Linked DNA regions of Oryzias latipes. The protein of the gene in region 1 purifies or fractionates together with the protein of each later gene. This does not show direct contact. Links are inferred from orthologs where the notes say so. Each region holds a gene or a part of one and is shown in the gene's direction. Other genes may lie near its edges.

The links.
Region 2: the proteins of ptpn11 (region 1) and sos1 purify together in Homo sapiens (affinity purification with western blotting; 4 studies listed by BioGRID and IntAct, with this or other methods). This does not show direct contact. The link is inferred for Oryzias latipes from reciprocal best matches to the Homo sapiens genes PTPN11 and SOS1.

What each region holds. Positions count from the first base shown.
Region 1 is NC_019870.2:1,404,833-1,415,520, reverse strand, and holds the end of ptpn11 (tyrosine-protein phosphatase non-receptor type 11), read left to right. Parts: intron 1-104; coding exon 105-218; intron 219-2,026; coding exon 2,027-2,123; intron 2,124-2,199; coding exon 2,200-2,279; intron 2,280-2,360; coding exon 2,361-2,519; intron 2,520-4,645; coding exon 4,646-4,777; intron 4,778-4,849; coding exon 4,850-5,004; intron 5,005-5,076; coding exon 5,077-5,144; intron 5,145-6,990; coding exon 6,991-7,142; intron 7,143-7,219; coding exon 7,220-7,338; intron 7,339-7,410; coding exon 7,411-7,480; 3' UTR 7,481-7,516; intron 7,517-8,407; 3' UTR 8,408-9,962; downstream 9,963-10,688. UniProt on the Homo sapiens protein: Acts downstream of various receptor and cytoplasmic protein tyrosine kinases to participate in the signal transduction from the cell surface to the nucleus. Positively regulates MAPK signal transduction pathway. Dephosphorylates GAB1, ARHGAP35 and EGFR.
Region 2 is NC_019859.2:93,197-103,884, reverse strand, and holds part of sos1 (son of sevenless homolog 1), read left to right. Parts: intron 1-5,108; coding exon 5,109-5,770; intron 5,771-5,958; coding exon 5,959-6,040; intron 6,041-6,193; coding exon 6,194-6,310; intron 6,311-6,855; coding exon 6,856-6,959; intron 6,960-7,122; coding exon 7,123-7,345; intron 7,346-7,415; coding exon 7,416-7,535; intron 7,536-7,608; coding exon 7,609-7,771; intron 7,772-9,019; coding exon 9,020-9,137; intron 9,138-9,209; coding exon 9,210-9,382; intron 9,383-9,461; coding exon 9,462-9,578; intron 9,579-9,651; coding exon 9,652-9,925; intron 9,926-10,320; coding exon 10,321-10,365; intron 10,366-10,688.

The sequences.
Region 1 (10,688 bases):
AATCTCTTCCTGTCTGTTCCGTAATGTCTTCATGTTCTAATGTGGCGCCGTCTTGACCTTCAGGAGCGACCTTTGCACTAAATGTTTTCTGCTGTGGTCTGCAGCCGCTCAACACGACGCGCATCAACGCAGCGGAGATCGAAAGCCGCGTCCGTGAGCTCAGCAAGCTGGCCGAGGCCACGGACAAGGTGAAGCAGGGCTTCTGGGAGGAGTTTGAGGTGAGTGGTCTGAGAAAGAGGAGCAACCTGCTTTTACTCTGAAGGCACAGGGAGCGTGCTTTTACTCTGAAATCCCACCGTAACCTCAGCGGCGGCAGCAGCACGTTTAACGGTCAGAATCATGAAGGATCTTTCTGATGTGCTTGATGAGTGTTTGTACTGGAACTCAAAAGACATTCCTCCAACGTTTAGGCTGAATCTGAATTCATCCCCTACCCCGACATTTATCCCTCCAAGACGGTTATGGAAAATCCGGACATGACTACCACTCCATGACATCATCAACGGTCGCCGGTCTCCCCCGCTGGCGTGTAGCTGCCATAATACAGTGGTTTATAACTTTAAAACGTTGTCATGGAAGCCAATACTTACATTTAGTCATGAACCTCTGTGCTTCAGAGCACACCCGCCTAAAGAAAAGCCTTTTTCCTGGCGTGCCAGCGAGACGCGGACCCCCCCCACCGGCAGAGGAATACCCAGCCGTGGGTCACTGCGGCTCCTCCTCAAAGAAACACTTTCAGACACCCCTACAGCTCCAAACGTCCCTGCAATGTCAGCAGTCTGGGGAGCCAGAGGGGAAGTCCTCATCATGTCAGAAGACTTTTATTTTGAAAGCAGATGGAGCCGGTTTCCTGTGTTTTTTTCCAGAAGTTCAGCTTCAATCACCTGAAGAAGAAGAAGTGTAGTTTTGGCTTTAGGGGCAGCAGTCTTTGTGTTATTCTAACAGATCAATAACCATGAGGAGTGATTGCTGTGCAGAAATGTCACTTCATCATTTTCTGAATTTACTTTTAAAAAAAACAAAGTATTTGGGAAAAAACTACACTCAAAAAAGGGATTCAAACCCTCTTTCATGTAACAACACAAGTAAATGCCGTTTGTTTTATTTAAATATATTTATTTTAAAAATATGTATCTATATTTAATTGACCTAACATAAAATGTATTAATAGTTTCACCTATAAACTCCAGTATTGAATAAATAAATTCATAATTAGGGGGCATGCTGTGCACATGTGCAGACTGCACCTTCTGCAAAATCATTTCTTCTGTGATTCTATTCTTTAATTGGTTGGATGCTGTTTTCCTCTTTCTCTTTATTTATTCTTCTTATAGTATCTTCCGCCGTTTTACGGCTACAATTTTTCACCTATTTTAACCATTCAACTATTAAAACGTTCAGCTCTTTCGTCTAATGCCTGCCATGACTTTTGGTCCTTCAAATCCTTTGAACTTTTGTTCGTGTTTTTCCACGTAAAAAAGGTACTGTGGCTTGGAATGGATTCAACTGGGTTTCTCCCAGTAAGATCAAAGACGACAAACCTCATTTATGTAGAAAATGATTCTGTCTTTATAGTGTTGGATGCCTGAGGCCACAGGAGAGTCGGCTCAGTGGATCAGTCTGTCTGCATGTGGAGGTTCTACCTTCCAGAATAGTGTCACACCATGTTTTTTGCTTTGTCTTCTTGATAAAATTGAGTTCGACTAACTCGATTATATTTCATTACATGGAGGAATTTTTTTGATTTGGTGCGACTCATATTTATTGGATGGAAATCCTGCCCACAATTAAATTGAGTTCATCCAATTTTTTTGAGTGTATAGACGTGTACAGATATTTGGAATAACGTCCTCAATAAACTACAGTTGTTGAAAAAGCGGCTATGATGAATAAAATAGAATAATAGAATTTGTGTTTACATGAACGTGCAGCTTCACGTTTGTGTCGGCGTTTTCTGCCAAACGCCGCTAAAGCTGTGTCCAGAAGCAGATCTGAACCTGGAGTTTCCTCTTTTCTCTGCATGCAGACGTTGCAGCAGCAGGAGTGTAAACTGCTGTACAGCCGCAAAGAGGGACAGAGGGCGGAGAACAAGAACAAGAACCGCTACAAGAACATCCTGCCCTGTGAGAGCCCCCGGCGCCGCCGCCACTCCAGGCCGCTCGACCCCGCCCTCTTCTCATCTGCCGTTTGTGTTTGCAGTCGACCACACGCGGGTGGTGCTGAACGACGGGGACCCCAACGAGCCCGGCTCGGACTACATCAACGCCAACATCATCATGGTGAGCCTCCCTCTCGCCGTCCGGCTCTGCGGGTCCGTTTGCGCTCGGGTTTGTGCAGCTTCTGGTTCTGCCGGTTTGCAGCCGGAGCTGGACGCCAAGTGCAACAGCCACAAGCTGAAGAAGAGCTACATCGCCACTCAGGGCTGCCTGCAGAACACCATCAGTGACTTCTGGAGGATGGTGTTTCAGGAGAACTCGCGGGTCATCGTCATGACAACCAAAGAGGTGGAACGAGGAAAGGTGAGGGCCGCCGACAAGTCTTCCATACATTTATCGCTTCTTTTTAGCAAAATCTTTTGGAGGCTTTCAGCTTTTTTTGACCAATGTGATCTGACCGTTTTCCTTTCTTCCCCTTTGAATTCCTTTGTGGAATATATCAATATATATAAGTATAATATCTATATAAAACTGAGCATATACAGTACATTCACAGCTTCTCATTCAGTGTGTCCAAACTTTTGGTCTGTACCGTAAATATGCTTTTTTCATTCTAAAAACTCCTTTTTGTATTAAACTTCTTTCTAATCATTGAAGGGTTTTAGATAATCTGAGTTTGTTTGACTGAATCCAAACAAATGTCTGACTCCAGGGGCCTGTTTCAGAAAGGAGGTTAAGTGTAAACTCTGAGTGCGTTAACCCTGAAATCAGGGAAACCCTGGGTTTTCCGTTTCAGAATGGGAGGTTTGTTAAACCAGAGAAAGCAGAGTAAGTCAAACCCGTTTCTGAAAGAGAGGTAACTTTTACTCGGAGTCAGTATCCATGGTTACTTATGCTGTGAACCTAACCTGGTCGGGAGCAGGTTTTATTCTCTAAACTCAAGGTTTCTGCCGGTCCCCTCCCCTTTTTAAAGACGAAGCGGTATTTTTCGCTTTAACCTTCATTGTCCACATGTCCGTCACACAGAGACGGTCTAAGTGACAAGAATGGCTTGTTCTTTTTTGGAGGACCCAATAGACGAGGAGGCTGCATTAATTCATAGAGAATTACATTTACCTCGTACGAGGATTTTGAGAAGACTCGATTTTTTTTTCATTTTTAGCTGCTGCCATGTTCTTTTAATTCCTGCAGGATTGCATCTACATGAAAATGAAATCAGGGACATTGAATTAGATTAATGTAACAATTACTTTTTGGAAACACAATTTGCTAGCACTGCTTACTTTCTTAATCCCATATAAACCTATACCACTTGATCAATACAAGGGTAGTGTTGCAGTGTGTGTGTGCTGAGCGGGGTGCGATCCACGAGAGACAAGGGGAGGGGCGAGTGCAGGTGCAGATGGGGGGGGGGGGGGGTGAGCACGGAGCGGAGCGGAGGTGTGTGCGTGGTATATATTGTGTGTTCGGAGGACGGAGCACTTAGTTAAATAAAGAGAAGGTGTCATTCCCAGAATAACTGTTTTGGAGTCATTCTTAATCCGCTCTGGAGGTTGAGGGTTTCCAACGGGAAGTGAACCCCGAAGGAGAATTCCCTTCAGCCCTGAAGGAAATCTCCCCTGCGCTTCTGACCACGGTCGGTCGGAAAGACGAGAGAAAAGAAAATAGAAGTCTTCGCGCAGCGAAAGGTTCAACAGTAGACAAAAGTTCACTTTTAAAAACACACAAAAAAAAAAATTGCATGTATTAATATTAAACTGACCAACGTTTGCAAGAGGGGAAGGTTAACAAAAAAGTCCTCTAAACATTACCGACGTTAAATGCATCCCCCCCCCCCAGATTGGTTCTGTACACTATGCAGCATTTCATGCATTTACACCAGGAATAACACTTCAAAAGTAAACCTAAATATCGCCATTTTTTATTTCACTCCTTACGCTATTTAGAAAGTTATTACAGCCAATATTTTATAACAATGATTTAAATGCAAACTTAGGCATTAACTTGAGCAGCTATGTTTCCCACGCTAACTGTCTCTGTTTTGCAGATGCAGCGGTGTTGCTTTTCTTCTGGAATATGTGCTCATATTCACTGTAACTCTGCAGCAGCACGTCAAGTTCAGCTGGAGAAAAATACGCAAACCTCTTTTTTTCACGGTTGCCATGGTGACTCATGATATCTGCGCTCCATTGATAATGGCTTCTTATAGTCGCGGTGCGCACGCTTAACTCTGAATCAGTCCACTCAGAGGTGATTGACCTAACTCCGATCAGCTTCTCTGAAACAGAAAACTCAGAGTTGTTAATCTCCCGATTGACCAACTCAGAGTTCAAGTTTATCCTCAGAGTTGGTCGAACCTCCTTTCTGAAACAGGCCCCAGGACTGTTTCCTCTCTAATCTGCCTCAATCTGGGTTTGTCTGACGTCCCTCTGCTTCTCTTCCTCGCCGCTCAGAAGCGAGCAGAGAGAATAACTGTGTGTCTCTGACAGAGTAAGTGTGTGAAGTACTGGCCCGACATGTCGGCGCTGAAAGAGTACGGCGCCATGCGGGTCCGCAACGTGAGGGAGACGTCCGCGCACGACTACATCCTTCGAGAGCTCAAACTCTCCAAAGTGGGGCAGGTGAGCGGCTCGGACGGAATTCGCCGCCACCGTCTTCCCAGAAACCCTCATCGGGATTGACGCTTTTTTCAGGGAAACACGGAACGCACGGTGTGGCAGTACCACTTCAGGGCCTGGCCGGACCACGGGGTCCCCACCGACCCGGGCGGAGTCCTGGACTTCCTAGAGGAGGTCAACCTGAAGCAGGAGAGCATCGCGGACGCCGGGCCCATCGTGGTCCACTGCAGGTAACGGCAGCGGCGGCGCCGGACGGCCGACGCACGGCAGCAGCCGCTCAGCCGCTCTGCTTCTGTCCTCAGCGCGGGGATCGGTCGGACCGGAACCTTCATCGTCATCGACATCCTGATAGACGTGATCCGAGAAAAAGGTGAGTCCTGCAGATCCTCCAGAACCCGGACCGGGCTGAAGAACGTTCTGCACGTCTGCAGTAAAACAGTAAAACCAACCAGCACAGGCTGGACTCTGCTCTACTCTACTCTACTCTGCTCTGCTCTGCTCTGCTCTGCTCTGCCCTGCTCTACTCTACTCTACTCTACTCTACTCTACTCTGCTCTACTGTACTCTACTCTACTCTACTCTGCTCTACTTTACTCTACTGTACTGTACTCTATTTTACTCTACTCTGCTCTGCTTTGCTCTACTTTACTCTACTGTACTGTACTCTATTTTACTCTACTCTACTCTGCTCTGCTCTACTTTACTGTACTGTACTCTATTTTACTCTACTCTGCTCTGCTCTACTTTACTCTACTGTACTGTACTGTACTCTATTTTACTGTACTCTACTCTGCTCTGCTCTGCTCTACTTTACTCTACTGTGCTGTACTCTATTTTACTCTACTCTACTCTGCTCTGCTCTACTTTACTTTACTCTACTGTACTGTACTCTATTTTACTCTACTCTACTCTGCTCTGCTCCACTTTACTCTACTGTACTGTACTCTATTTTACTTTACTCTACTCTGCTCTACTCTGTTCTACTCTACTCTACTCTGCTCTGCTCTACTTTACTGTACTGTACTGTACTCTATTTTACTCTACTCTACTCTACTCTGCTCTACTTTACTGTACTGTAATTTACTCTATTTTACTCTATTTTACTCTACTTTACTCTACTCTGCTCTACTCTGCTCTACTCTGCTCTGCTCTATTCTACTCTGCTCTGCTCTACTTTACTCTACTGTACTGTACTCTATTTTACTCTACTCTACTCTACTCTGCTCTACTCTACTCTACTCTGCTCTACTCTACTCTGCTCTACTCTGCTCTGCTCTATTCTACTCTGCTCTGCTCTACTTTACTCTACTGTACTGTACTCTACTCTGCTCTACTCTACTCTACTCTGCTCTACTCTACTCTACTCTACTCTGCTCTGCTCTGCTCTACTTTACTGTACTGTACTGTACTGTACTCTATTTTACTCTACTTTACTCTACTGTACTCTGCTCTACTCTACTCTGCTCTGCTCTGGTCTGGTCTGCTCTACTCTGCTCTACTCTACTCTACTTTAAGTGGGATTCGGCTTTTATTGGATCAAGTTTTACTCTGCTTTTACTTTATATTAACCTTTGCTTTACTTTAACAGAAGTATTACTATACTTTTACTTTGTTTTACTATAATTTAACTTTATTTAACTTACTTCTTTACTTTTCCTTTACATTTACTTTTTTTTCATGTAACTATACTTTGTCATCTTTACATTTACCTTCATGTAACTTTGTTAGCTTTGACTGAACTTAAAGATTACTTTACTTTAGTTTTCCCCTCTTTTTATTTGTATTTATTTCTACTTTACTGGTACTTATTCAAATTGGTTTAAATTTACGGTGACTTTATTTTGATGAAATTGTAACTTTTATATTTACTTTTAATCTTCTTGACTTTGGTTTAACTGTGACTTTACTGTAAATGTAGTTAATTTTTTTTGTCTTGAACTTAGACTTTAACATTTGATTTCACTATTTTTTTATAGTGAGGCAAAAAAGTATTTAGTAACAGATTCTGTAAGTTGAGAGAATTTAGAAAATATACTTTTCAGAGAGTAAATGTAGTTTCTGAAATGGATTTTTATCAAGAGAAAAAAAATCTTTTTAAACCTTTTCTCTGAACTGTCGTGTTTCTGCTAAAGAGACGGTATTGACGGACACATGTGGAGCTCTGGGTGTTGAAGCCTTGAGCATCTCTGAGGCCTTTTTGACCTTTGCCCCTGCAGGCGTGGACTGCGACATGGACGTGCCGAAGACCATCCAGATGGTCCGCTCCAAGCGCTCGGGGATGGTGCAGACGGAGGCGCAGTACCGCTTCATCTACATGGCGGTCAAGCACTACATCGAGACGCTGCAGCGGCGCATCGAGGAGGAGCAGGTGAGCGTCGGGCTGTCGCCGTTCCTTCGCCGTTCCGTCCCGGACGCCGACCCCCCTCCTCCTCCTCCTCTCTGCAGAAAAGCAAGATCAAAGGACGGGAGTACACCAACATCAAGTACTCGCTGTCCGACCTGACCGCTGGAGAGCAGGGCCCCCTGACCCCCTGCACCCCCCTCCCCACCCCCACCTGCACAGAGTGAGTGGCGTCGGCACGAACTCCCGCGTCTTGGGCGTCTCCTCGCCGCTCACGTGTGTTTGGGTTTGTCAGGATGAGGGACGACAGCTCCAGAGTCTACGAGAACGTGGGCCTGATGCAGCAGCAGAAGAGCTTCAGATGAGAGCCGCCCGCGACCCCGGGGCCCCCCCTCATCCAGGTGAACGCCCCTCCCACAGGCTGGAGCAGGCTGGCTCTGTGGGAGGCCAGGAGCGTGGAGACGAGCTCCATCGGCTCCATTTCTGTACCCACCTGGAGGATTCAGTTACTGCCAGGGTTTTCGAGATTCTTAGAGAAAAACAGTTTAAAAATGACATTAGTATTCCTGAACTCCTGAAATGATTCTAGAGCTCTCACATTTATACAAATGAAAAGGAGTTCAACAGAACAAGAACTTCAAAGTAAAACAGGAAAGGTGTGAATCTCCGTTGGCTCCCGCTCAGCCTTTCAGGCGCTAACGGCACAAAGCCAAAGGTTTGAATCCATAAAGCGATCTTTTTGTTCATTATGAACAATTGAGCTTTGTTGTTTCAAACGAAGCATTTTAAATATGATAAAGCTGGATATTTAAAAAAAGGATCCCAGGTCTGTTGAAACAGAAATTAAAAATAAAAAACCGAATAAAGTTGAACAAATCTGAGTCTTTTGGAGTAAAAATGTCCCCAAAAACAAAAAAAGGTTCTTTGTCACGTTTTCTGTGCTGTTTTTGCAGCACATGGCAGCATTCCTGACATTCTAGAAAACAGGATGATTTGAAGTGAAAAACGTTGCAAATCTGCTAACTTCTCCTCCAAACCTGCATCATTTCTATACCTAGCAGGAGGATGATGAATGTCTCTGAAGAGGACAGATGAAGAGCCGGTTGCCTGGCAACCGTTGATTAGCAGGAGACAGAAACCCTCTGCAGGGACGTCTGCCATTATTTAAGGTGGAAATGTTGAAAACAGGAGAAATGTTCGTGCAGGAAGAGTCACTTCCTGTGGTGGAAGGAGGGCGGAGTGGGCGGAGCTCCGGTTTCTCTGCTCTAACCCCGCCTGGTTTCCCCCCCCAGGATCTCCATACTGTTCGCCAACCACACCTTGACAGTGACGACGTGGAACGACGGGGGGGACCCAACCACGGGGGAGGCTGGACTTGAGGAGGACTGGGGGGGGTCGTCATCCTGCTCTCGCTCATTCCCCACCCCCCCCCCCCCCCCCCCAGTTGAATTGGAAACCACTGTGATCATCTGAGAATCCTTAACGAACCCAAACCTGAAAGCAGCCGGGGTTTGGTTTTTGGAATCACCGCCGGTGGGGGCCGCCGGCCGGCAACTAACCTCACTAACCCCCCACCCCCCCTTGCTTATTTTTTCCTGCATTAACTGAGTATGGAGAAGGTCCCGTGCCAAACTAACCCCCCCCCCCCTGTCTCTGAGCTCAGCCTTCAGCCTGGAGACGAGATCCAGTTTCTGCTCAAATCCGGTTCTTGACAGAAACCCGACCCGTTCTCAGAGCCCTTAAAGCTGCGCCTTCGGTTCAGAACCGCCTTAAAGCGGGGTGTACCCCCACTTCACTTAGCATTACTGCGGGAGGGGGCTGTTGTGTTTTGTCTTTAGACACAGATTTTTTTAAGTGCACAGTCCCCCCACCCCACCAGGAAACCCTTGCTAGCCCCGCCCCCTCTGAACGCCATGTGCTGGTATTGGCTGCTGCTGGAGCTCACCTGGATCAGGTGGTTTTCCACAAACTCATCCGTCTGCTGCTGTCGGATCGACCTGTCATCACACGGAGCCTGACGAAGAAATGACACTAAAGGAAACCGGTGCAGAACTTCGGAACTAAACTGGAGATGAGCGTGAAGACGGGCCGACGCCGACCCGGAAAAGAAGCAGAGGTTCTTTTTGTTTTAGCCCAAAGTTACGATCCTGTTTCTGCCATTTCAGTCTGGAGCCAAACGGCAGCATCAATGGATCCAGAACTCTGTGGATCCAGAATTTATGAGATCCAGAACTCTGTGGAGCGCTTTTGAACTCAAACTTGGGGTTTTTCTTTGACATTTAGCTTGAAATCAAAGTGTTTTTGTTTTTTTTAAATCTCCAGCTACTCCTTGACCTCCAGCCCCCACCACCTTACGTGGCCTCAGTCTGTGTCCGGCTCGCCGTCTGTGTCCGGCTCGCCGTCTGTGTCCGGCTCGCCGTCTGTGTCCGGCTTGCCGTCTGGTGGTGCTGCAGCTCTCATCCAGGTTCTGTTTTCATGGCCTGCTTCCTGTCGGCGGCCGCTTCACCCCCCCAGTCCCGCCGTGCTCTGTGCCACGCCCCTTAACCATCATGAACGCGGTCTAGACGTGCCTTCGGTGCACACGCCTGCCTGTGTGGAGCGGCGGCACTCCTTAATGTGAACACAAACCCTGAACCGGGATCACGGCGCCGTCTCTATTTTTTAACGTTCAGCAGGGCGGGAGAATGTACTAAAACATATCTATATGCCAATTTATCATGCGGCGCCCCCCCCATGCCACGGGGGGGGGGAGGGGGGGCGCTCTCACAGCTTCAGAGGTGTATTATATGACTTTCAATGCAGTTCACCCTGTTAACATCTGTAAAAATAAAGGATCATGGCTCACCACGCCGCCGTCCGTCCTCCTCTGTGGTTCAAACAGAACAAGTGAGGTTTAACACACACACAACAAATGCACACACACACACTACAGACCAGGAGACGCCACGCCTGCAGCTTTCAGGATGATGACGGCGTCTTTGAGGATCTGCATCTGAAACGGCCTCATGGTTGAAATCAGATTTAGATTCATAAAGTGTCAAAAAAAGATCTGAGCAAAACACAAAGAAGGAGAGTAAGTGAGGGACATGTATGACGCATGGACACCAAAAGCGCTTTAAAACAACTACAGCTGGACATCTTTAAAACCTAAAAACTAACGGGCATCAATGTGACAAAAAATGTAGAATCAGATTCTGTGTCTGAATTCCCCTAAGACTAAAAAACTATGTAGAGCCCTGAACTTTAATTGAAGCAGTTCAGACTCGACGCTCACTAGTTTGTTTTTAAAACTGCTGATGTGACGTCATCGATTCCACAAAGTTAAATTGTAATTAATATGAACATTAATTTGTGAGGATTATTTATAATTCCACTGTCTTCTGGAAATAAAAACATTGATGGTTCATTTAAAAAAAAAAATGTAAATACATTTTTTTGGCAAAAATTGTTCCGATGCAATGCATTGTGGTCTATATTTGGCAATATATATATATATATTTATTGATATAAAATCATTGCAAAACTATCGCAGACACAACCACACAATGATACAGCTCTTCACAAAAACCTGTA
Region 2 (10,688 bases), on another chromosome or scaffold:
ATAGTTGGCCAAGATGCTAGGATCCAAACTGGGCTTTTTCAGAAGAGGTTTAACAACTGCATATTTAAAAGACTGTGGCACGTAACCCGTTTCCAGAGAGGTATTTATCATTGTTAATATGGGATCATTAATTAGGGGAAAAGTTTCTTTAAAAAGTCTAGTGGGAATTGGGTCTAACAGACACGTTGAGGATTTGGAGGACGTAATAATTGATGTTATTTCCACTTGATCCACAGCAGTGAAGCAGTCTAATGTTACAAAGGTTTCTATGGATGCCTCCATTTCTACCGCTTCAGCCTGTTCTGGGCTGATAGTAGGAATAACTTGATTTAACTTATGTCTAATATTTGAGATTTTACTATCAAAAAATGTAAGAAAATCATCAGAGCTGAGAGAAACAGGAACATGTGGTTCTACTGAGCTCTGACTGCGAGTTAATCTAGCAATAGTGCTAAAAAGAAATCTTGGGTTGTTTCCATTCTCTGATATTAAGGTTGAATAGTACTGGCTTCTAGCTCTACGCAGAGCTTTTTTAATAATTTAATAGGCTATGTTTCCAGGTATTCAGAGACTGCTCTGAACCGGAGCGGCGCCATTCTCTTTCCAACTTACGGGTTTCTTGTTTAAGAGAACGAGTTTCAGCGTTAAACCACGGTGCTACTCGGTTTTGTCTGACGAACTTAGGTTTCAAGGGGGCAACAACATGGAGTGCACTCCTGAGGGCTTGTAAGGCATCATTAACAAAGTGGTCATTTATACTAGGACTGATACTATGGGAGCTGGACTCAGAGTATTTTCTCAGAATATCACTAAGTACTGGCTGAACTGTGTGTTTAAACTCAGACACAGAACGGTCAGTTAAGGTTCTTCTAAGCTGTTTCTTATTCACTGGGACAGAAGGATGTTCCAGTGTAAACTGGAAGGTAATCATAAAGTGATCGGAAATGATGGGGTTAAGACAGGGGTGGGCAATTCCAGGCCTCGAGGGCCGGTGTGTCTGCATGATTTCCAGATACTCTTCCCCTACTCATGGCTGACTACCTGGTTCAGGTGTGTCCAGCCAATCAGAACATGCCAGAGCAGGGTATGCTGGAAAACATGCAGGACTGCGGCCCTCAGTGCCCACCTCTGGGTTAAGAGGAAGGACACTCAGCTGGCTGATCTCTATACCATGGGTTAGAACAAGATCCAGGGTGTGCTTATGACAGTGAGTGGGTTCATTCACACTTTGGGTGAAACCAACATCATCTAATAAAGCTGCAAAAGCCTTTCCTAGACAGTCACTGGGGTCATCAACATGAATATTAAAATCCCCTAATATTATAGTTTGATCAGAATCTAAGACAATAGTCGATAGGAAGTCGGAAAACTCAGTTAAAAATTCTGAATATGGGACGGGGGGGCGATAAATAATTATGAGTAAAACAGGTTTTGGAGTTTTCCTGTTTGGGTGACTTAAAGACAATATGATGCTTTCAAATGAATTATAAGCATTTTTAACTTTAGGGCTGAGAAGTAAGCTAGACTGTGATATTACTGCCAAACCCCCTCCTTTACCTGAAATCCTGGATTTCTGATAGTTAGCATAAGTGGGGGGGGTTGCTTCATTCAATCTAACATAGTCATCCTGATGGAGCCAAGTTTCTGTTAAGGCTAAAAGACTGAGGTTGTTATCAATGATTAACTCGTTGACTAAGAGGGACTTGGAGGAAATGGATGGAATGTTTAATAAACCGCAATTAATTACATCTTAATTCTGCTTGTGAGAACTGCTGTCTGTCACTTTGAGGTTTCTATGATGCGCTCCTTTCTTTTGTCTTTCAGCACATAAGCTAAAGCTAGGACCTGCTTGACTTTCCCTGCATGGGTTTTGCACCGGCACTAACCCTAAGGGAGGCTCAGAGGAGCGTTTTCCCCTGCTGCTCTGCGCCCGGGTCTCGTCTCTGGATTGTCAGGTTAACAGACTAAGGCTAGCAGAAATGTTTCTAGAAAGAAGAGCGGCACCGTCCCGGGTGGGATGGACGCCGTCTCTCCGCATGAGACCGGGCTTCCCCCAAAACGCGCTCCAGTTATCCACAAAACCAACGCCGTTTTCTGGGCACCATCTAGAAAGCCAGCGGTTAAATGATGAAAAGCGGCTGTACATTTCATCACTGACTAAGTTCGGCAGGGGACCAGAGAAAATTACAGTGTCGGACATCGTCTTAGCCAGTTTACACACCGAAGCTACGTTTAACTTAACCACCTCTGATTGTCTCCGTCGGGCATCATTACCGCCTGCGTGAATCACGACTCGACGGAACCTGGACTTACTCTGAGCTAACATCCTACGGTTCCCCTCGATGTCACCAACTCTGGCCCCCGGATAACACCTGACTGTAGCCGCTGGGAGCTCCACGTTTCTAACTTCAGAAGAGCCGAAAACCAGAGTTGGGGGTTCAGCGGGTGTGTCACTGAGGGGGGAGAACCTATTACTAATGTGGAGTCTCGGGTGTTGTAAGTTTTAGCGTTTAGCACTATGTTTCCTCCCAACCGGTGCAAACCCCTGTGTGTCTCCCGGCTGCTGGGAAAGCGCTGGGGTGCTAACTAAGTTAGCCCTGGCTAGATGTAAGATCTTAAGCCCGAGTCATAAAGGTCGGGTCGGGCACTAAATGACAATCATTACGTTTGGGTCGGTTCGGGCCGGGCTTCTCTCACGCTGACTTTTTAATAAATATATTGTAATGGCTGCAAAGAAGCTCCTTAGGCGGGCGGTTGTCAAACAGCTCTTTATTAATCCTGTATGTCAGAACGGTCACTGCACGAACCGAAAGGCACAGCCAGCTTCTTCTTACTCAGAGGGAGAACGTTCACCGAACACGCACACACACACACACACACACACACACACACACACAGGTAGACCCCGCCCCCCAGTCACCAGCCCACCGTTGATTGACATACACTGTGGTCCAGCAACTGGCAGAAAAAGGGGGAGCTGGCCACCCGCAGCTCTGCGCACGTGTCGTAGAACTGCACGATATGAGGAAAACTCGCGATATGCGATATTAGAGATTAATATTGCGATAATGGTATAATTTGCGGTATATAAACAAATAACAAAATAACCAAAAACATCATTACCATTTCATTGTAACAGTTTAAAAATTATACTCTAAATGACCTTTGTCGACATAGGAGACAAACATCTAACATAATAGGCCTCCATCTGATTGGTCAACAACGTGAAGGGCTCCATCTGATTGGTCAAATGCATAAAGGGATTTATTTCATTTGTTAAATGCTTCAAGCTGCCATAAGGTTGTATTAACACATTTAAGGTGTACGATTTATTGCGATTTTCGCTACTTTTTGCGATATGCATATTGCAGAGCTGGATATTGCGATAACGATACATTTGGGGTATATTGTGCAGGCCTAACGTGTCGTGAATGTAATCTTCCCTCCGCAAGCCCGTATCTATTTTGTTTATTTTGTTTATTTCTCCGCGTAATGAAGCGAGTGCGCATCAAGATGTCTCTTTCACTCTCTTTGTCTGGCCTCTTATTCTGTCTTCCAGCGTTATTTCGTTGTGCAAATGCATTTATCATGTAGGGAGGATCCTATGCGCAGCGCTTCCGGCGGAACTCTATGCCACAACAGCGAGCTTGACTACGCACGCGGCTGCAGTGACCACTTTGTTTATGTCGATTTTTTTACCTTTAGGAAATCTGGGTTTTTTTTTCCTGCCAAAAATACTATGGGATAAATTGAAATTTCGGTTTGCTTCGGGCTCGGGCCTGCAAATCAAGTTAATTGGTCGGGTTCGGCCGGGGTTTGCTTTAATGCCCGTGGGCCTGTGTCGGGTCGGGCTGGATTTTTTAGGCCCGTTCTTAACTCTAGCCCTGGCTAGCCGGCTAAGCTTCCACTGTGCGGAGCCGCACTCCTAACTGATCCAGCTTGGCCTCCAAGTCTAACACAAGAATACACTCAACACATGTACCACAATCTACACTAAAGGAGGCAGGCTAGCGGTGTTTAGCTAAAGAGAAGCAGTTTCATTAGCAAACTGAGAAAAAGTGGACAGCAAGCGGTTAACATTAGTGTATTCGCTGCTAAACGGTACTAGATTTTAATATTAAACCAAATAACAATTAAAGTAAGCAATAGTAGTCAGGCTAATGCCAAACAAGAAAGCAACAGTCAAACACGATCAGCACTAGATAACGCTCATCCGGAAATGACGTCACAGGAACAGCTGGCTTTTGTGTTGGCTCTTTTCCTTCTGCCCTGTGCAGCACTGATTCTGATCTAATCACTGATACTGCTTGATTTCTGCCTCCTGATGCCACCCTCTGGGGTATAAGGGTATTACGTTACTCTGTCACTCACGTTATTACAGCTCCGACATTTACCAATGGCCTGATATTTACAAATGGTTAAGTTGTTAAAGACTAAATAAGAAAAATACAACTACAAGTGAAAAGAAATATACTTTCCCACAGTACACTGATGATGTAGTAGTGAACATGTTCTGTGGTTGAAATGACTGTTAGAAGACTTTTCTGAGAAGTACTAGATAAGTACTAGAGGAGTACTAGATAAGTCATCTGACAGTCATAACACAAGTACTAGATTGGACATTTGCATTTACCACACAACGACCTACCGATCATTGGCCTTATGTCCCACCTGTAAAAACGTCTGCACACAAATAACAGGTTGGATAAAAAGTCAGTTATTCTAAAGAACAGAAAAGTGTCAAATGTCTACGAAAACATCTGAAAGCTTAACTGCTCTGAGTAGATTTTGGATCAGAATCTCTGTTTTTATGTTGTACAAAGTGGATGCAGAAAATATACACCCGGTGTCAGAAGATTCCTGACCCCCTATTGTTTTAGCACCATCTGTCCATCACTAGAGGCCTTCAGCTCTGATCTGTTTGCTGAACACGTTAAAAAAACATTCAGAGCTGTCAGTTATCTGCTACGCTGCTCAAAGATCTGCTTTAAAATGAAATGATGGCCACACAGGGACAAACAGGAGCTGTTCAAGGATGAGATTCAAGCTCTGAGCTATCAAAGGTCTGCAGGTGCGACTGACTCCTACCTCTTCTTTGCTGCTTGCAGTGAGTCGGCGTGTCGCCTCTACAGCCACCAGATGAAGGGGAAGCACCTGGCCATCAAGAAGATGAACGAGATTCAGAAGAACATCGATGGCTGGGAGGGGAAGGACATCGGACAGAGCTGCAACGAGTTCATTATGGAGGGCACGCTGACGCGGGTGGGCGCAAAACACGAGCGCCACATTTTTTTGTTCGATGGCCTCATGGTCTGCTGCAAGTCCAACCACGGCCCACCGCGGCTGCCTGGCACCAGCTCGGCCGCAGAGTACCGTCTCAAAGAAAAGTTCTTCATGCGGAAAATCCAAATCAACGACAAGGACGACAAGGAGGGAGAGTACAGGCATGCCTTCGAGATTATCCTGAAAGACGGGAACAGCGTGGTGTTTGCAGCCAAGTCCGCAGAAGAAAAGAACAGCTGGATGGCAGCGCTGGTCTCGCTGCAGTACCGCAGCACCCTGGAGCGCATGCTGGACACGGCCATGATGCAGGAGGAGAAGCAGGAGCAAATGAGGCTGCCGGGAGCCGAGGAGTACCGCTTTGCTGAGCCAGACTCCGAGGAAAACGTGGTGTTTGAGGAAAATGTCCAGTCAAGGTCTGGAATTCCCATCATCAAGGCGGGAACGGTCCTGAAATTGATCGAAAGGCTGACTTTCCACATGTACGCAGGTGAGCTGTGAAGTCATGCAGATCACACAGGTGAGACGAGGTCTGACAGGTCAGACCGGAGTCAGGCAGATATGGCGTGAGGTGATATAAGTGTTCAGGTAGAGTTGTGAAGTCAGGCAGGTGAAACCTGGGGAATCTAACCCCAACCCTTTATTAGGGCTCAGCTCACAGGTTTCCTGTTTTTTCAGATCCAAACTTTGTACGGACCTTTCTGACCACTTACAGATCGTTCTGTAAGCCTCAAGAGCTTCTAGACCTGCTCATTGAAAGGTGAGCTCACCTGTCAAGTCATTGGAACTGGGCAGCACACCTGTACTCTTGTTTTTGCATTATTCAGAGTGAAAACTGAAATGAGTCTGTTCACAGCTAAAACCTCAACAGAACCTGTACAAGAAACCTGGCTGAGGTTCTGGTCTGTTTCAGGTTTGAGATCCCAGAGCCAAGGCCGGCTGAGGCAGATCCGACAGAAGGAGGGGATCAGCTGCTCAGCGCCGAACTCAAACGCTTCCGGAAAGAGTTTGTTCAGCCGGTCCAACTCAGGTACACTGAGACAGAATCGAAGGACCCGTCTGTGGGATACGGGATAGACGTACCAGACTCACTGGATCCAGACGTTGTTCAGACAACCGGTCATGGAAACCAGCAGTCTAAGTAGGAAGGTGAACTGTGGTCTGCAATGAAGGACAGATGACCCACCAGCTAGGTGTTTGCTGCTGTGGGAGGAGCTGGCCAGGACCTTCAACAACGAGCAGGGGGCGGAGTTTAGTGATTTAATAGAAACTTTCTATTCAGAGCCTGCAGTAATAAGCAGGTAGACCGGGTCAACAGTTCATATTTAGTCAAAAGGTTCCCGAGCGGGACTTGGAAGGACTTTTTAAATGTCTGTCAAAAGCGGCCTCATTGGGTCGCTGCCATGGAGCAAAAGCCACCTTGACATCCGTCTTCTGCCCTCATCCAACCAGCCGACCTCCAGCTGAACCTGGAGGATGGGTCTTCTGCACACATCTCCTCTTCTTCTGCTGCTTCAGAACATTTTAAAGAAATCCTACAGACTTGTGTTTGATGTGTGACTCCTCCCCCTGCAGAGTGCTGAATGTTTGTCGACACTGGGTGGAGCATCACTTCTACGACTTTGAGAGAGACATTCATCTGCTGGGTCAGTTGGAGGACTTTATAGCTTCTGTTAGAGGTGAGCACCTGCTTCAATCACCTGCTTGAGCTGTCAGGTTGAGGTCCAGTCCAGACCGCAGAGGTCCGGCTGATGTTTGTGGCTCACAGCAGATGGGCTGAAGGTCTCAGTTGAGTCTAAAGTCTCGGAGGCTCAGGTAGGTTAACCGCGTCATGTGTTACAGGTAAAGCAATGAGAAAGTGGGTGGAATCCATCACAAAGATCATTCAGAGGAAGAAGCAGGTTCAGGTTAGCCTGCCGAGCCATAGCATCACCTTCCAGAACTCTCCTCCTCCTATTGAATGGCACATCTGTAAGCCGGGAAACTCAGAGCACTTTGACCTCATGACTCTGCATCCCATCGAGATCGCTCGCCAACTTACACTGTTGGAGTCTGACTTCTACAGGTAAGGCCAGGCCCACACACATCCACAGCTGATCGGGCGGCGTCCGACACAACTCTGATCCCCCGCGCAGGGCTGTGCAGCCTTCAGAGCTGGTCGGCAGTGTGTGGACCAAGGAGGACAAAGAGATTCACTCTCCCAACCTGCTGAGGATGATCCGTCACACCACAAACCTCACCCTGTGGCTGGAAAAGTAAGATGTCCAAGCGGCCGCCACGAGCTGTGACCTGTTTGCTTTGTTGCGCTGAGGCCGTTGCTCTCCACAGATGTATCGTGGAGGCAGAGAATCTGGAGGAGCGGGTCGCTGTCGTCTCTCGGATCATCGAGATCCTGCAGGTTTTTCAGGAGCTCAACAACTTCAATGGTGTTCTGGAAGTCGTCAGTGCCATGAACTCCTCCCCTGTGTACAGACTGGACCACACCTTTGAGGTAGGCAAGCGTAGAAAAGGCTCCTCTGCATCAGGACCGGTCTTTGGTTCTGGTTGGTAAGAGTAACAAGTTTAGATAAAGCAGAAGCCATTGCTTTTTATTGCAGTTGAAAGTTGAGGAGTTTTTAGTGCCTTTAGGCAAGGTCCCTGAGCCTCTGTGATGGGTTAGGGGTACAATACAACCCTCGTTTTCATGTACAACTTAAAACACCAGATAAATGCAGGTCAAGCTGTGTCACGCTGTCAACACGGATGTCTATTATGATAGTTAGGGTGGTGTTTAGACCATCGGCTCACAATAGGGTGGTGTTGTTCTCTCTGGGCGTCTCACACCTTTCTGCAGGTTCTCCAACAGTCCAAACATTACTCATTTACACATTTACACATTTTGCTCTTTCCAAACGGTCTCTTAGAACCAACCTGTGGTCACAGTTGAACAACCACACACCTGTCACCTGACTTAGCGCTTTGCAAGCCGGGTGGACTCCTGCAACCAGAACCAAGCAGGTGTAGATTAAGGAAGACAAACTCTCTTTTAAAAGGAAAAATTCTGCAAAATGATTTGTAGTCATCAAATACATGATTTAAAAATATATATTTGTCATCTTTCAGTTGCTCCTTTTAGGTTTTACCACAGCGAATCATCTTCTTCCATGGAACCTTCTCCTCATGTCTTTCATCCACGAACCTCTGCTTTCCTGGTAGCTCCAACCTCAGCATCCTTTCACCACCATCATCACTGTTTCTCCATCTGCTTCCCTGCATTGATCTCCAGAACATCCATGATGTGTTCCTCTGATGGATTCATTTCTGATCCATCCCATGTGTTCCTCTGTAGTTTCCTTAACTCTGAACATCTTCCTTCTTCTCCTCCATTCCTGATCCTCTCACTCTCAAAGATCTTCCTAAACCCTCAGAAACTCTTCTGTCACCTCTCCTAAAGTCTTGATAGGTGATGACAGGTTGATGGGTTACATTTTATTTGTCACCTAAAGGCAAATGACAAAAACAGTTAGTCTACTGGTTCACATGAACCCTGTAGCTGTTTTTTTCCTACTAGGCTATCTTACTGAATGCTCCAAAGGTTCTTTTGTTCTCCTTGCGCATTGGACCTTCCTCATTTTGGTGGGCTGGTCTTGTACTTTCATCCAGCTCAGTTGGGAGAACTTCCTCTCCCCAGGAGACACCACGGTGCTGAAGCTCAAGTGTTGTAGAAAAAATTCTGAACTGATGGTGCTTTTGTTTACAGCAAATTCCCAGTCGTCAGAGGAGGATCCTGGAGGAAGCCCACGAGCTGAGTGAGGACCACTACAAGAAGTACCTGATGAAACTGCGCTCAATTAACCCTCCCTGCGTCCCCTTCTTTGGTACAGCCTGACTGGTCTGTGGACCTCTTGAAGCCAGACGGCAGCTTACGCTGGGACATGTCTGTGTCACAGGTATCTACCTAACAAACATCCTGAAAACAGAAGAAGGAAACCCCGACTTCCTGCGCAGACATGGAAAAGACCTGATCAATTTCAGCAAGAGGCGGAAGGTGGCCGAGATCACAGGAGAGATCCAACAGTACCAGAACCAGCCATACTGCCTGAGGGTGGAGAGCGAAATCAGGGTCAGTGTGTGCATGTGTTACTTCCTACCTGTGGAAACCACCTTTTCTAAGCTGATTGTCTGTTTTGTTTGTGGTGCAGAAATTCTTGGAGAACCTGAACCCGATGGGGGACCTGTCAGAGAAGGACTTTGCTGATTATCTGTTCAATAAGTCTTTAGAGATTGAACCTCGAAACACTCGATCCCTGCCCCGATTTGTAAGTGTAACCATGGTAACGTGATCTGGAGAAGGATTCGGCTGAATCTGAACCTATCTCAATCCTGGTCTAGGCCAAGAGATACACCTGTCCTCTGAAGAGTCCAGGGATCCGCCCAACCTCAACAAGGCCCGGCACCATGAGACACCCAACACCTTTGCAGAATGAGCCCAGGAAGATTAGCTATAGCCGCATACCTGATAGTGAAGCGGAGGGTGGGGCAGTCTCTGCGCCAAACTCCCCCCGGACCCCCTTGACTCCGCCTCCAGCATCAGCTGCTTCCAGCTCCACAGATGTGGGCAGCGTCTTTGACTCGCCGCAAGGGCCCAGCAGCCCCTTCCATTCCAGTAAGACACGCCCACCAACATCCTATTGAGACTTCTCGCCAAAAATAAACTAACCACTCAATCAGCGAGGCTGACCTTCCCACGTCACAGCGCCCAACTCCACCCATAATCCCTGCTTACATGGTCAGGTCACATGACCACATTTTAAATCAAAATTCTAACATTGGTGGGGGGGTTTATGGTTAGGTCACTGGTGAGTTTATTTGATAGAATTAGCAATTTGACGTGCTAACTCCTCCCACAAAGTCTCTAAAGCCTTTGCTAATGTTAGCTCCCGCCCACTGGGCGCTTGAGGACATCAGAGTTTACCTGTAACACCTGCAGTTTGACTGGCACAGACATGAGCCTTGAGTCTGACTCCTCCTCCTCACCTGTCTTTCCTTTTCACTTCTCAGCCTGCGACAGCATCTTCGCTGTCATCTCTCTGCCTCGTGGCCCACGTTAGTATGACCCACTTGACTGTCATCCTTCCACCTGTCAGAGCGCCTCAGGTGTGCTCAGCAGCTGGGCAAGCTTTTAGGAGGCTCGCTGATGCACACCTCATGTTAGCAGACAGGTGCATGTCTCAGGTGTGCGTCATCTGTAGTACCTGTCCATCTCCATGGAAACCATCGTCCTGTCAGTGTGTCGGACCACAAACAGCTGATCTGTCAGCTTGCCTCTCCAGCTGTGGTTGAAGACGTTCATTCATATTTCCACTGCTGACATTTTATCCCCCCTGCAATGCATTCTGGGTTGTTTTGGGGTTGTAAAAGATAAACAC